Linked DNA regions of Daphnia pulex. The protein of the gene in region 2 purifies or fractionates together with the protein of the main gene of each other region. This does not show direct contact. Links are inferred from orthologs where the notes say so. Each region holds a gene or a part of one and is shown on either strand. Other genes may lie near its edges. The genes, in order: vacuolar protein sorting-associated protein 33A-like and transforming growth factor-beta receptor-associated protein 1-like.

Region 1 (4,282 bases), on a different chromosome or scaffold from region 2:
TTGGCTTCTTTTTTATATTGACTTTCACAGATTGATTTTAACGCTTATCAACTTTTTACCAGATACTTTTATTCCAAGTTGTGCCAAGTTCTCTGTACTCGACATCTCGCACCTCTCGTTATCAAATCCGGTATAATAATTAAAGTACAAGTAAATTTAAATGATCAACAATGAAGCAACCTTGTTGTTTGATAGTTCAAGCTAATTTTGATATTTTTAATCACCTCAATTTTAAATTCAATTGTTGCATACGATAAGGTGTAACCGTCAACTGTTTGCATCCTGGTGCTGTCAAAACTGAAATCTTTCGCAACGCTCCAACATGTAACATCATTTTTTATATGTTGTTGTATTCTGATTCAGCCAAATATTACTCGAGTAATTTAATTAGGGTTCCAGATGGTAGCCGCGGTCTGCATTCCACTTTTCTTTAAGGTTTTTTATTTTTTTTTCTTTTTCTGCTGCATTTTAAAAAATCTCATTCCACTGTTTAATTAGTTGTGAATACTTCATTTTCATCAAGCATACATACACTAGAAATTAAATGTATATTAACTTATTATTTTTTCTTATAGGTAAAAACATTACTGTCAATGCTCTTCATCCGGGTGTCGTTCAAACTGAATTTGGTCGTTTCCTTCCTTATGAGACTTTAGTGAAAATTGCATCACATGTGTCTTCTATTTTCTCAAAGGTTTAAGACGAGAAAACTGAGAATTCAATTTTGTTTCCTCATTCATTACTGAGATTGATTTACATATCCGTTGAACGTTATAACTGTCTACCTTCTATATTTCAGTCGGCCAAAGAAGGTGCGCAGACAAGTATTCACTTGGCTGTGGCTGACGAAGTCGCCAACGTTACAGGAGAATATTTCAGCGATTGTAAGGTAAAATATTAACTTAAAACAAAAAACATTTATTAATAATATAGATGCCTGCAAATCAAAGCTGATGCATACAACGATAATCTAAAAGTTGATAAAGATGTACCGGAAATAATATTTGCAATGCAAGTTTTAAATATTTTTCGAATTAAAAATACAATTTTTTTAAAATCACAGATTGCTAAAACGTCCAAGTTGGCAAAAGACCTCGAATTAGCCAAGAAGCTGTGGGAGGTCAGTGAAACTTTTGTCAAGTTGAAGCCAGAAGAGCGCCATTTTTAAAACACCATTAAAACAAGGTGATTGTTTTTGTGGACGTCCAATAAAATAGGAGTTCAATGATTATGAATTTATTTAATGTACTTTATGATAAGCGAAATGACTAATGAGAGGAAAGTGTAATATGTGTTTCCATAATCCGTGTTTTGCTTTTGCCGCTTTTGCCAACTGTCCAGGATAGCCGTTTCGGAAAATGGCAACACTGTATGGTTCCTATCTCAGCTGTTCAGTGTTTACAACTGTAAGCTGTCAGTTGTGCTGATACTTGTCAGTGGTCACTGTTTCTCAGCTTGGGTCTATTTACTAGTTGACTATATACTTTAAAGCAACTATCAATACCAATCATTTACGAAATAATCGAAATATTTCCTCATCAGAAACAAAGAAACAAAAGCTCGGAAACCCTTCGCTTAAGAAATCTAGAATCTGGACAGTTAATAGCGACGTACTTAGACGTATCTTAAAGAATTAAATCTAACAGATCGAATCTGTTTACCAATTTATAAGTCAAATTTTATTAACAAAGCAGCCATGGCTCATTTATCAGCTGGCAAAGTCAACTTTAGTATGCTGAGAGAGTTGGCAAGAAAGGTACAATTTTATACAGTAAAAATAAATTTTGTCAACAGTTTTGTTATTTTTACAGGATATTGTTTCTCTTTTAGAGAAGTTCAGTGGAACAAAGGTATTTTGGTGTGTGCTATTCCATTTAAGAAATTTACGTAAATTCATCAATTATGCTAGGCGATATTTTGGGATGAACAACTCACTGGCCCCATTGGTTTGGTGGCAGAATACAGTTTTCTTAAGGAACTAGATGTTGTAAAAATGTTCCAGTTAAAACCTGGGCGTTTGCCTTCCATATCTGTTAAAAATATACTGTTCATCACAAGACCTGAAGTTGAGCTGATGGATTGTATTGCAGATAACTTGCACAGGTATGAATAATCTACATATTTTAACTTTAAATAGACAACAATTAGTTAATTTACATTTCAGCGAAGAAAGCCAAGGACATTCTGCTAGTAAGGAATATCAGTTAATTTTTGTCTCCCGACGAAGTGCAGTATGTGAGCAACGGCTCAAGGTTGGTTAAAGTTACTTAAATCAGCGAAGAAGAAATTGTTGACAAAATTATTACTTCATTTAGGACAAAGGAGTGTATGGAACTCTTACTTCTATTGATGAACTGCCTGTTGATTTTTTCCCACTGGATAGTGATGTCATTTCAATGGAACTCGATAATGTTTTCAAGGTATTTATTTATGAGCCAAACTTTGAAAGGGATTGCTTGTCATTGATTTCTTCAAATTTCTTCCCAGGATCTATATGTTGATAATGAAATCAGCTCCTTACACCAAATTGCTCATGGGTTAATGTCCCTCCAAAGTTTATATGGCATTTTCCCCAACGTTGTGGGTAAGGGACGCCATGCCCGTAACGTATTCGAATTGATGACTCGAATGCGACGTGATATTGGGGTAGACTGTGATCCCCCCATGTCTCCGTTGTTCGACACTCTCATGATCATTGATAGGACTGTAGATTTGATAACTCCTGTTGTCACTCAGTTGACCTATGAGGGTCTTATCGACGAATTCTATGGAATAAAACATAGTAAGAAAGTATTGTTAGCTTCTGTGTAAAACAATTATTTTACTTGCATTTTGTGGTTTCATTGTTATTTAGATACAGTCAAGCTTCCAGGAGAAAAGTTTCAAGCCTCTTCACCTGCGGGCCAGTCACCTCGCTCTGATGATAGCTCTGTTAAATCTGTTGTTCTAAACTCGGCCGAAGAGCTTTACGCTGATTTGAGGTGAAATTTTGAATCAGACAAATTTTGCTTCCGACAGTTTTAAAGTTATTTATTTTGCACAGGGACAAGAACTTTTCAGCCGTGGGTACTGCACTCAGTCGCAAAGCTAAAGCTATTTCAGCTCAGTATGAAGAACGACACGAAGCAAAAACTGTCAGCGAGTTGAAGCAGTTTGTAGCAAAACTACCGCAGATGCAAGCCACCAAACAGTCTTTAGCACTACGTAAATACTTTGTCGTATTTTTTCCTGGCCATTATTTAAGCTGTATTACGCATTATTTAAGCTGTATTACGCATAATTTTTTTACAGATACATCTGTCGCTGAATTGATTAAAGAAATAACTATTTCAGAAGCATTCCAAGAGGCCCTTCAAGTGGAGCAAGACCTTTTGAATGGAATTGATACTGACAAAGTTTGTCCATACATTGAAGATTTCATTTGTAAGCAGGAACCATTGACTAAGGTAACTGAAGTGGCAGTTGGATACATTTTGCCATTTCCCTTTATTTTACATTTATAATTATCACAGATTCTTCGCTTGATTTGTCTGCAATCTGCTGCCAATAGTGGCCTGAAGCCGCGCGTCTTAGAACACTACAAAAGAGAAATTATTCACGCTTACGGATTCCAGCACATGATTACGCTTCACAATCTTGAAGCTTGTGGTCTCCTTCGATTGCAGCAAAGTAATCGTCCTTTTACTGTTATACGGAGAGCGCTGAATCTTACGGTAGATGACGTCAATGAAATCACACCTACTGACATCTCCTATGTACATTCTATTTACGCGCCACTAAGTGTACGATTGATTCAATGGGCAGCTAAGCCCGGATGGAAGCAGATTTCCGATGTGCTTAATTTGATTCCAGGACATTTGGTTCAAGAAACTCAACCAATTTCCATTGATTTAAGAAGTTTGTTTCCGTTTCTTAGTTTTTATGAGACCTTATAATCACACTTCGACTGTATTTTAGGAAATTCTAGAAATAGTGTCCATAGTTCGATTGAAGAAACCAAGGTCACATTAGTATTCTTCCTCGGTGGATGTACCTACGCAGAGATTTCTGCTCTTAGATTTCTATCTAAAAGGGATGATGGTAAGTAATTAGCGTTCAACATATTTTGCAAATAACAACTTAAACAATAACTTTTTTTTTCCTTAAAATTTTTTAGCACCTACAGATTATCTGATTGCCACGACAAATATAATAAATGGTGAGAGTTTCCTTACTAGTTTATCTGAAACTTTAAATGGTAACTCTCTAGTCTAAGTCTAATGTTATATATTTACCCCATAAT
Region 2 (4,287 bases):
ACCGGTAAGGGGGCAAACGTGCCGACTCGTAGCACATTTTGAATGGGTTAGCACTCCATTAGGATATCGAACGAAACCATCGGTCACTACAAAACGTTTCTTACAAACACAGCAGTAACTAGAGGGTTGAATAGAAAATGACTCTGTTTCCAATATTTTCAATTCATATTTATTTGTCAAGTTGTCCATTTTATGTAATGCCTTCTCGATCTAGAAATAACAAAAAAAATTATATGGATTAACACCCTATTTGACTACAGTAATACCGTCTTCATCCTCTTTTCGTGTAATGCTTCACGAACCGCGAAGTTGACGAACGGGGCGATTACATTGAATTTTGTGCTATCAGGAAGACAGAGCAGGGCTGTTGGAACGTCAAACTGATGTGGCCGGCGACGCAATAAATCTGCCACACGGTCAAACATATGAACGTTCGCTTCAGTCACACAGGCAGCCAACAGGGCATTCCAAGCTTTTGGATCATCTAGACATGCACAATATTCCTCAGCAGCATCAAAATCCTGATAAAGATTGATTAAATTACATTATTTGCTTTATATTAAGAGGTTAACTACCTTAAGATAGTTGATAAAGGTATTAATAGCAGTGGAATGTTGACCAAGTCTTCCACAAACGATTGCGTGCTCATGTGGAAAGCCAGGCGTATCAAGTATTTCCAACAGTTTAACTAGTTCAAGTTTTTGAGAAGTTCTAAGAAGACTTCGTAGTTTGTTAATTGTCATTCGATGGCCTGGGCTATTGCGGTTCAGATCGGAGCGTTTGATGTCATCTATATACATCATAGCTAGTTGAGTGTGAACCGACTCCTCGTCGATTTTCTTCTCGATCAAGAATTCGAGGAAAATTCTTAAACTTTTGGGATAGTTGCGTAAATAATCTATTACAGCTCGCGGCTTAACGGCTGGTATCTTTTCTGAAGTAAATATTTTAGCGCCCATCTCTTCATCCCTCTTTAAGATTTCTCCACTAAAGCGCCAAATCAGTGAGATGTCTCCACACCTAAGTAGAAATCGCAAAAACTTATGAAAATGATTTACAAACAACTTTAAAGAATTCATACTTAGTCAGCTGCTCGGCCACATGAGGGTATCCTAAAAAATGCACGTCTTCAATGTCCGACTTCATCAATCGATCCCAAATGCAAAAGGCTTCCTCCCATTTTTGTTTAGAAATATAGTAGGTCGCTAAGCAATGGAACCTTTGAAAAGTTTTCAAGCAGTCGCATGTTTCACTTGAGTCGGCTTGGCAGTCTACGATGAAATCCATCAACTGCACTCCTTCGTCGTCATTCCTTGCTAAATACTTGAGAAGTGCCAAATCGACTGCCTAAAAAATTTTTACATCAAATTTAGATGCGATGACACGAAAAACTACGGAAACACAACTAGCATACCATCCTCTGATCTGGCGTCAAGCACTTGAGTCTCCATCGCTGAAGAAAATCGAGGAAAACCACTAAAGAACTGTTGCGCATTTCTTCTTCTGGGAACATTTGTTCAAGGTCCAAGTCAATCACCTAAATAGTTGCACAAGTTATTTAATATGCTATGCATGTACATTGTACACAAATGTAAAAAACAAACAGACCTTTCGAGGATCAATGTTGCATGTTTCAAACAATTCCATTGCATCCAAAAAGCGTCCAGAAGAAAATCGTAGCAAAGCCACTTTTTCTTCAAGATCCTTAATCATGAGTTTATGCTGTTCTCTATCGTTAGAAGAGATATGGGCATTAGCAGCTAATACGAGGGCCTCTTCTATGCGATTGTCAGCAAGTAATTTCTCTAATTGCGTCTCCCAAGAAATAGGAAGTAGAGCAAACAAGTCAATCAGTGTCGAGGCAAAGATTCGACCATCACCATTTACTATAGACCGAACATTGTCAATAGCTATCGTTTGTTTGCATTGCTGATCAATAATGCTGTAATTATGAAATTTACAAATAAAATTATCAAATCAGATTGAATTTTTTTTTTTCTTCAAATACCTGTAAAAACAGATTCCTTGTCTACACACTGCAATTATGTATGGGTGATGAAAGGCTAAAGCTGAGACTTGACTGGAAAAATTTATTGGAGGTTTATCTGAAAAACCTTGTGACAACACAAATACTCCTAATCCACCAGGTCCACTCAATAAAAATTCTCCCTATAATTAGGAGAAAAGTTAAAACAGGTGCAATATTTTGCAACATTTAAATTTAAACACCTTTGAGACTCTGTGAATGATGAGTGGTTGCTGTGGGTTGTCTACAGCAAATAGCTGTTGAATCTCTCCAGAAAGAATATCCAGCATGCAATATTCAAAGCCCATAGCAAAACAAATGTGAGCTCCATCCATCACCAGTGTTGAAGGTGTTAAGCTAGTTGAGACTTCTTTAATTATTTTAACATGCTCATCACTAAGGTGAATATACAATATTTTTTTCTTGGACCCAGCACAAATCTCCACTGTGAATGGATCTTCATTGAGTGGATTCTCATTAAGATGGAAAGAAGTGATGGATTTGAACTTTAATGTTCTGACTAGAGCTAAAGTTTCCAAATCAAGCACAGTCAAGGTTTCATTAGAAAGCACAAGCAGCTGTGTCAAGGCTGATATGGCTTTCATCTGTACTATAGGACTGGTAGTTGAGTAGCAGTGAGTGGCTTTGTTGATAATTACTGTTTGTTCAGGTAAGATTGAAGATTTCTTGAAGCTACACCTCAGTAAGTTTCTGTGATACAATAATTCGAAATTTTTATTACATTCAATGGTATAAAAAAGGGAAGCCAACAGTATAGCAAATTTACCCTTCTTTGCACCCTAGATATAAGAAATCGCCACATATTTCCAGGCAGGTTATCTAAATGACATTTTATTCATTAATGTCTTTGAAAAATCATATTTATACATACAACAAGAATATTTTAGATACAAAGACTTACATTTGTAGAAGGAGATCCATCAATGAAGAGATTGGGTAAATTACCAGCAAATATGATGTCAAATGCCTGTGCACTCATTTTAAGATTGCTCAAATTAATGAGATCAAACAAATGGTAGCAGCTGAAGCGTTGTGTTACTAATTATATGTACTCTTTAGTTAAATATCGTGTACACAAATGGACACAAATCCAATAAAAACTAAAAAAAAATCTTACGTCAAAACAAACCCCACTAATCGATATAGAAAGTTTATCGATTCAATAAGGAAAATCAAATCCGATTTCGATTTGAAATTACGTGGGCATTCAAACTACGCTATATTTTCGTAGTATCCAATTTGTTTATATTTATGACCAATGGCCGCGATTATAACTTAAAAAACAAATTTATTTCGTAATTCAACGTAATATAAAAGGTATCGTATCGAGATATCAATATATGTATCGCGTGTTGCAATTGCAAATCCCTTCTATCAATATATAGGGAAGGTTCGAAGGGGCGGGCGGAGTGCACCGTTTACTTCTTAGTGAAATAAAATACCGGACTGTAGTTGTGTAACCTGCAAATTGTCTGGAATTCTCTCAGAGTTATCGTCCCATATCGGACGATGTACGATGAAGAATTCACATGTAGCCATCATACTAGTAACTTTATTTTTCCTGGATGGTTGGTGGACCGGAATACTTAGATGGATTATCTTCAAAATGATGTCTACTGGAATTATTGGTGCTACTTTCAGTACTCTTGTAGATTTTTGCGCTTATCACCCAAAGATCTGGGAATCCTCAATCAATCTTTTGTCACAGCCTTCCAGTTCTGAATTGAAGTTTGATTGCCCACCTGGTTAAGTATACAATATTCTGACCCCCTTGCAGTTTACTAATAAATCAATAATTAAATGTATACCTACATTCTTGCAGGATTTATAGCAGCGCCAAACCAAAGTCATTTCCCGACTAGTAATGGCTGTGGAGCTGATGGACTCAAAGTAACGATACAAATAAAATCAGCCCAGAATTTTCTTTTATCTATTTTCCGCTATTTTTTTCTTTATATAATGTAGATAGACGTTGAATGTTTGCCATATAAAGACCAAGAGCTATGCTGCAACACTCACGATATGTGTTACGATAAATGCCACATCATTTCGTCAATGGAAGCTGACGTGCACCGAGGCCAATGCGATAAAGAATTTAAAAACTGTTTGATAAAAATTTGTTCATTTAAAAGCTGGCAGCGGTACTTGATTTGCCCATTTCGCATCGTACTTACTAATAAATTCTGGAATGAGAACTGCGAGCAGCCTTTAATCGATGATCGGGAGAAAAGTGAGTTATT

What was found.
Region 1: the proteins of transforming growth factor-beta receptor-associated protein 1-like (region 2) and vacuolar protein sorting-associated protein 33A-like purify together in Homo sapiens (co-immunoprecipitation; 5 studies listed by BioGRID and IntAct, with this or other methods). This does not show direct contact. The link is inferred for Daphnia pulex from reciprocal best matches to the Homo sapiens genes TGFBRAP1 and VPS33A.

The regions. Positions count from the first base shown.
Region 1 is NC_060022.1:3,591,188-3,595,469, reverse strand, and holds the start of vacuolar protein sorting-associated protein 33A-like, read left to right. Parts: upstream 1-1,374; 5' UTR 1,375-1,696; coding exon 1,697-1,756; intron 1,757-1,811; coding exon 1,812-1,850; intron 1,851-1,909; coding exon 1,910-2,103; intron 2,104-2,164; coding exon 2,165-2,252; intron 2,253-2,315; coding exon 2,316-2,420; intron 2,421-2,487; coding exon 2,488-2,782; intron 2,783-2,854; coding exon 2,855-2,981; intron 2,982-3,043; coding exon 3,044-3,204; intron 3,205-3,291; coding exon 3,292-3,446; intron 3,447-3,512; coding exon 3,513-3,897; intron 3,898-3,957; coding exon 3,958-4,080; intron 4,081-4,156; coding exon 4,157-4,254; 3' UTR 4,255-4,282. Other genes in the region: retinol dehydrogenase 13-like, read left to right, coding at 576-694, 800-889, 1,064-1,168.
Region 2 is NC_060020.1:7,292,879-7,297,165, forward strand, and holds the start of transforming growth factor-beta receptor-associated protein 1-like, read right to left. Parts: upstream 3,083-4,287; 5' UTR 3,027-3,082; coding exon 2,949-3,026; intron 2,867-2,948; coding exon 2,814-2,866; intron 2,738-2,813; coding exon 2,230-2,737; intron 2,170-2,229; coding exon 2,009-2,169; intron 1,943-2,008; coding exon 1,609-1,942; intron 1,538-1,608; coding exon 1,415-1,537; intron 1,348-1,414; coding exon 1,082-1,347; intron 1,021-1,081; coding exon 576-1,020; intron 522-575; coding exon 267-521; intron 211-266; coding exon 1-210. Other genes in the region: group XIIA secretory phospholipase A2-like, read left to right, coding at 3,564-3,792, 3,870-3,937, 4,013-4,277. UniProt on the Homo sapiens protein: Plays a role in the TGF-beta/activin signaling pathway. It associates with inactive heteromeric TGF-beta and activin receptor complexes, mainly through the type II receptor, and is released upon activation of signaling.